Linked DNA regions of Daphnia pulex. The protein of the gene in region 2 purifies or fractionates together with the protein of the main gene of each other region. This does not show direct contact. Links are inferred from orthologs where the notes say so. Each region holds a gene or a part of one and is shown on either strand. Other genes may lie near its edges.

The links. The genes of interacting proteins can lie anywhere in the genome.
Region 1: the proteins of smad nuclear interacting protein 1-like (region 2) and apoptotic chromatin condensation inducer in the nucleus-like purify together in Homo sapiens (affinity purification with mass spectrometry; 3 studies listed by BioGRID and IntAct, counting the BioPlex papers as one, with this or other methods). This does not show direct contact. The link is inferred for Daphnia pulex from reciprocal best matches to the Homo sapiens genes SNIP1 and ACIN1.

What each region holds. Positions count from the first base shown.
Region 1 is NC_060026.1:13,524,069-13,527,980, forward strand, and holds the end of apoptotic chromatin condensation inducer in the nucleus-like, read right to left. Parts: coding exon 3,643-3,912; intron 3,195-3,642; coding exon 2,959-3,194; intron 2,893-2,958; coding exon 2,613-2,892; intron 2,546-2,612; coding exon 2,141-2,545; intron 2,076-2,140; coding exon 1,344-2,075; 3' UTR 533-1,343; downstream 1-532. Other genes in the region: RNA-binding protein NOB1-like, read left to right, coding at 1-53, 126-261, 327-451.
Region 2 is NC_060018.1:419,578-422,603, forward strand, and holds smad nuclear interacting protein 1-like, read right to left. Parts: upstream 1,683-3,026; 5' UTR 1,627-1,682; coding exon 655-1,626; 3' UTR 571-654; downstream 1-570. Other genes in the region: biotin--protein ligase-like, read right to left, coding at 1-222, 291-436, 499-507; sulfotransferase 1B1-like, read left to right, coding at 2,287-2,530, 2,856-2,952. UniProt on the Homo sapiens protein: Required for pre-mRNA splicing as component of the spliceosome. As a component of the minor spliceosome, involved in the splicing of U12-type introns in pre-mRNAs. Down-regulates NF-kappa-B signaling by competing with RELA for CREBBP/EP300 binding.

The sequences.
Region 1 (3,912 bases), on a different chromosome or scaffold from region 2:
CACTGCAAATTCATATCTCTAGCAGAAAAAAGTTGACAGCTCGTGGGAAGAAGGTAAATACGGCTTTCGTCATTAAACTTTAATTAAAATCAAAATTAATCGTAGCCTTTTCTATTTTTTCAAAGTTTTCTTTACCAACACCAAAGGGAGGCAAATACGCTTGCAATCCAATTCTCGTAGAAGACCAAAGAGAAGCTCAGCAACGCGCTACTCGTCTAGGTCGTACTAAAACGAATGCCCTAGATCCCGACTATGTTGCAGGTTATTAAACAAGTTTTAAATTGAAATCCTAACCGACTAACAAGATGTTTACTCGACTCGTGTAGGAAATTCACCTTTTGCTGTCAACGATGTCTATTCTCGCGCAGCGCAACTTGGACGAACAGGTCGTGCAACTAGCAACTTTAATCGCCGGAACCCTGCTGAATATCGTAAAAACAAAAAACGTTGATTGTATCCTTAGGTCTGTGTTACGAAAATATACTATGCCAAGCGGCTGTGTTTAAAAATTAAATTAATGCAAAAATATTGGTGGAGTTCATTACTTTGTATTTACGTAATACAGTGTAGGATGCCTTTTCAAGCGATTGGAATTTGTACGCCAGCCAATCAAACAATTTGTAAATTAGTCCATTGGAACTTAAGGTGTGAGAGTCAGACAATTACAGGGAGGAGAACAAACAGGCATAATTCAACCCGTAACAGAACATTTGGGTTGAATGTGTCAGTGACAGTATGCGTTGGTTGAAACCAGAAAGCAGTCTGGTGACAACGTACCAAGGGATTTTTTCCGAGTAGCCCCATACATCAAGCTAAAGTAAATCTTCACATCATAGGTTCTTTCTGTTATGTTTGTGACATCTTCTGCTTTTCCCCAATCAATCGCCGATCCTCGGTGACAATGAGGGGTTAACACACACAAGTTGAACGGCTGCTGAAAGATATAAAATTCCCGTTCAGAAAGTTTAGATTGGATGGCTCGCTACGATAGACCTGCAAACAAACGGATTATCCAGAAGGTGGTAGTAGGGAAAGAAAGAGGGGAAAGGTAACTAAGGCAAGGGATAAGAATAGAGAGGTAAAACGGGAAGGGGTACGATTAAACGTGGCAGGTGTACAAGGGGATAAAAGAGTGAAGGAAATTAGGGAATAAGGTATTTTCCGTAAGTTCTAAATTTTTAATTAAAAAAGAACAAGGTGTTTTCTTCCACGTACAATTCGAGAACTCGTCTCCCAATTCAAGAGTAGTTGTAGTCATCTTGCAGCTGATTGGTTTCTTTCTAGCCCAATCTTCTCCGAACCAATCAGTGTTGTGACTGAAGATTGTTAAATATTCGTCATCTTTATCTCTTGCGTGGGGGCGTTTTACTGTTGTTCCGTCTCTTGTTCGGACTTGATGAGGTAGTGCTCGACGAGCTTCTAGATGAAGATCTGCTGCGTTTGCGAGAGCGTTGGCGATCTTTTTCGCGTTCCTTTTCACGATCTCGTTCCCGAGCACGCTGCCTTTCGCGCTCGTTTTCACGCTGTTTCTCTCTTTCACGTTGTCGCTGTTGCAGCTCTTCGTCCCTGCGTTGCTGAACTTCTCGTATACGAGTCTCTCTTTCAGCAAGCCTCTGGCGACGCATCTCTTCCTTCTCTGCAATTTGACTTGCAGTCAGGGGCAACCAATAAATGAATGGAGCGGCTTTGGTTTTTCGGAACAAATCGTCCAACAGTTTGGCGGGCGTTTCGTCTTTTGGTTTGAGTTCTCCGTCGTCTTCCCCAGCGGGGTGTGCTCCTTTGTGGGCTTGCTCTAATTTCTCGGATCCTTGTTCACCAGTTTTTCCCAAATCCCATTCGCGTACTTTTTCAGCCTTGTCTCGCTTCCCTTCAATGGACTGGATGGCTGCGGCGGCCGCTCGCATTGTTGGTTCAATTTTGGCTACAGGTGGGTTGGTTGTTTCTTTACCAGACATGCGGTTCTCTAATTCTTCTACAGTTGAGTAATCAACCAGGAGGGTTTTGGGATTAGATGTAGGCCAATGAATTCCGTGTAAGGCAGCCCGAGTTTCTTCAGCTTCTTCCTCAGTTTCGTACTGTAGACACAAGAAAAATATAAGTCATCTTTTATGAACTGTAAAAAAGGATTGAAGAAAATTACCTGGATCAAACAAGAGGACTTGACTCTATCAATCCAAAACTTTCCATCGATGAGGTGTCCAGTACGAGCAAGCAATTCTTTAAGCTGATTAATAGTAAATGGTCGAACCAAATTTGAAACATTAAGAACGGATGATCGAGGTTGTTGGGCTGGACTAGTTGCTTCTAATAATGGGGCAGCAGCAGCTAGAACAACTTCTGGTTTAGCAGGGGCGAAGGCTTCGGCCGCAATTTCAACTGCTACACGTCTCACAACCTCCATTTTTTCAACTTTTTCAGCAGCTGGTAAATGATGGTCTTCACTTTCTTGGGCCTGATTAACGGTGGGTTTTGTTGAGGGTTGAAAGTTAGGACTGCCGAGGCGAACTTCTTCCGCTGAGAGTGGTTTAGCATCCGGTACGAGAGACTATTTGAAGAATTGCAAGCAATTATTTTTGTGCTCACTTAACACATGAAATGTATTGATGTGTTACCTTAAGGGAATCTGTGGAAATAACTAAGGCAGGCTTCTTGGTAGGCAGAAGCTGGCTAGTTCCCCATCTTCGTTTTCTTGGTGCTTCAGTTTCTCCTGATTCAGCCTCAACATTAGGCAACTGTTTCCTTATTTTCCATTTTCTCACTGTGTCTCCTTTTATTACTTCAGACTGAGGTGCTACTTCAACCTTCTGTTTGGTGTCATGGGGTGATACACTCCTTCCATTCCTGTTTCTCTCAACTTCTGGGCTGCTTTGTCGTGGGCTAGGTGATCTGGAACTTGAAATATTAAAGAAAACACTAACTTTATTGCTTGTTGTTGTGACATTTAATAAAAACGCCTACCTTGATTTTTCACGCCCCTGGTCACGATTGTCAGCAACTTCTTCTGCTTCAGGTGCTTCTGTAAGTTTCAGGCTTTCATCAATTGTTTCAGTGGTGTCCATCTGAAGTTCATCTTCTTCATTGTCATCAGTGGGTTGTTCTTCAGGAACTGGGTCTACTTTGACAACTGGTTGCTCACACACATCTGATTTGATCAACGGTGGCGTTTCGTTTTCGACAGCCATTGCAGTCACAGCCTACAGAAATAAATATTAGGTTAAGTAAGTAAATTGATTCAATGAAACAATGCCATATTACACACGTGGCAGATGCTAGTGAGATACCCTAGTGCCGAAGAAATATGACTAACAACAAAATGGTATCACGTGTAAAGATAAGACTATTAATATCAAGTTACAGTTTAAAAACTCGGAACGGCCAACGACAACCGATTGTTAATACGCAACAGATCTTATGAGCTTAAAGGTTTGTGACGACAGCGAGTTTTCATTCTGCTAATTCTCTACCCCTAATTGAAACAACGTTGCCAGGTACTCAGAGGGAGTGAAAAATGGGAATAAAAGAAAAAATTTAAATTTTCCATAAAGAATTGGGTCAGAAACAAAATTTAAATGGTACATAAAAATTATCTGAAATTATGAACAACTCTAAATAAAAAATTTATAACATTTTTAGAAATATTACCTTAACCGGGGGTGAATCGACGCTATCTTCTTGCGAATCGGTAGGTTTAGTAACTTCTTCTTTAGACTCTTTCGTTTCGGGCTGATCCTTCAACTCAGGCTCTTTCGTTTCGGGCTGATCCTTCAATTCAGGCTCTTTCGTTTCGGGCTGATCCTTCAACTCAGGCTCTTTCGTTTCGGGCTGATCCTTCAACTCAGGCTCTTTCGTTTCGGGCTGATCCTTCAACTCAGGCTCGCATTTCATGATTGGTTTGTTTTCACACAGATCCGT
Region 2 (3,026 bases):
TCAGATACGTACTTTGTAACGCCATTCACTTGGGTTCCATTCAGCCATTTTGGAGAAAAAGGGTGTAGGGAAAGACATTGACCACCCTTCTTGATGTACTCTTCCAGCGGATCGTGCAAGTCATTATCAGACCATCGAGAAGCAAGTACTAGGAGGCTTGTGTTGCTTAGCCAAGCTTTTTTAGAACGAAATGAGAGTTCATCGAGATGGTAAAGGGCATAACTGTCAATCAATGTTACATTGTTTAAGATCAAGAATCCAGATATCAAATGTCTATACTGTTTATATACCAATCCGGCTCTAGTGTGGATTCAAAGAGGGCTCGATATTGCTGAAAAACTTCTTTGTCACTCGTACATATTAGAATGTTGGGCGGTCTTGCTGAGGAGGCCAGCAGTCGTTCCACAGGTCTCATGACACCAGCAATTTTGGTTACCTGTTACCAACTGGTTGTAAAAATTGCTTTAGTTATAAATTTGAATTAACGTGACAACTTACGAATAACATGAACAGCCCCACTGATGTGTGAAACCTGGAAATGAAATGAAAGAACACTTAAAGACGATTGAATACCTTTCGCAGAAACATTAAGTGTATTGCGGCGTTCAAAAAAGAAAATTGTTATGATACAAAACATTGCTGGTCACCAACGTGTCACTGCCCCACTCCCATATCGTCCAAACTAGCATCTGTTTTGCTTTCTTCATGAAGGAGAACATATTCGCGGGAACTGAAGCCAAACTTCACCACATCCTTCTCGAACAATTCGACGTAACGTTTGGATTCAATTTTTTGATTATTTACAAAAGTACCATTGGCTGCTTCCAGATCAATAATATATGGCCGGACAGTACGTCCTGCAGTTCCATCAGGCCGTTCGTAGTTTACCAACCGAAATTGGATCGCAGCGTGCTGTTTCGAGCAAGAGGGATGGTCGATTGGAATATCAGCAACTTTACGATCTCTTCCGATTAAGTAGGCGCTTTGACGGTGAAGGTACAACGTAGGCAATGCCTCTTCCCCTTTAAAGACGTAAAAACGCCACCGTCGCTTGGGAATTCTGGCTTCAGGTGGTTCACTGTATTTGACCACCACACCATTGAAAACATTCTTCTCTTCAGTCAATTTTCCTGATAGACCAAAGTTGGGTTTTTGCTTTTCAACGAGTGTTCCTTCTTCTTCTTCATCTTTAACTTGTTGGCCATACTGGTAGTTGGCTGCTTCAGCATCTTCACTTCGGGGGCTTTTGCGTCTCTGCTTAAAAGGTCTTGGTGGTCGATCTTCTGAATGTGGTTGCTCATGCCGTCTTGAAGGCCCTTCATTGTGTTGTGGACGTCTGAAACTTTGTTCATCATCACTAACTGGTTCTTTCTTGATTTTAACTGGAATTGGTGGGTCATTTCTTCGATTACTTTCTTTGTGTGAAACTTGTGAATCATGTCTCCTGCTGTCTGATTTCCGACTTCTTTCATAGTCATCACTTCTTGAATGGTAATGGTCGCTTCGTGAAGATTTTCGTGGTGGGGAAGAGTCACGTTCTTCACGACGTCTGTGAGTCTTGCCTCTTTCATGGCCTCGTTCGTGGGACCTTTTGGGACTCCTCTCGTCTTCGTTGTGCTTTACCATGGCGATCCAAACGAAATAAAACAAGATATGCACAAGTACTCTCTAATTACCTTAATGTTTCTGGCGTATTTCTCAAAAAAACGAGATCAATTCAATGTTTCAGTTTCAGTTTGATACAACTCGTTTCTCGGCTTGTCAACATGAAATGGTGTCGCAACTCGTAACCGTTGCCAGATTTACTTTCATCCACCACCTGTAAACGGCTAGCCGCTAGCGGTCCGCCGTCCGCGGACCTGCTCTCTGCTGCCTCACTGCCTGCTCTTTAATGTATTTATATTCTCATTTTTTTATGTAATGTTTTAGAAATTGAGTAATGCTTATGTATGCCAAATTGAGAATTTTTGTAATCGATTACAGCATAACATTTTCGAAATCAAAATTATGTTGTTAGAGAAGTATATTTTTCTTTTGCTCGTTGGGTCGTTGTAAAATATTTAAATAAATATTATCAAATATCTGATATTGTAATACATATTTACGTGGATTTAATAATTTTGCATTTGATTTAACGACGAAAACCAAATCGTTAAAATTTGATGTGGCACTCGCTGAGTCGCTGTTGAGTATAAAAAAGGAGGCCACGGTGTCATTCAGTCGTCGCGGTCTTTGTTCGATCCTTTTTGCCGTTGCGTTTTCATTTGTTGTCTGAGCTCTCGCACGATGACAAACCCCGAAAATCCTTCAGTTCCTCCCGAAGTTGTTCCAGAGTGGAACATAAAATTCAATCCTGTAGAAGTGAATGGAGACTTGAAAGAACACTTCACAAACTACGAGCAGCATGGACTGATGAAGAGCGAACCTGGTGGTTTTCTCTTAACGGATGAGTATGCACGCCATGCCAAAGAAATTTCACGTTTTCAACCAAGAAGCGACGACGTTTGGGTAGTAACCTTTCCAAAATGCGGTAAAATCCTTTTTCAATCATTTTTAAGATTTTTTTTATGTAATAGCTACATTTTTATAAAATAATAATTCGTAAAAATAAATATCCTAGTGGTATTTGTTTAGCAATTACTGCTATTACGTCACAATTTATTTCTTTGTCATCAATTTTTTTGGCCGTAGCCTTGAAAGTCTAGTAGCCAAATGGCAACCTTGTATTTCTCCCCGCCTATTTTAAAACACATAGTTTGAAACAAACAAATACAAATCTCTCGGATCTTGAAAGTGTTAACTTTTCGTATTCTCCCGCACATATAAAATTGATAACTTTGAATTTGTTTACTTAGGAACGACGTGGACACAGGAATTAGTGTGGATGATTCTCAACAATTGTGATCCAATTGGATCTAAGGCACCACTAATAGTTCGGTCACCCTTTCTAGAGTATGTCAGTTGTTGGGATGTCATTGAGAGCTTTAACAAGACATTTCCGTTTTCGGTTTATGAACTATATGGAC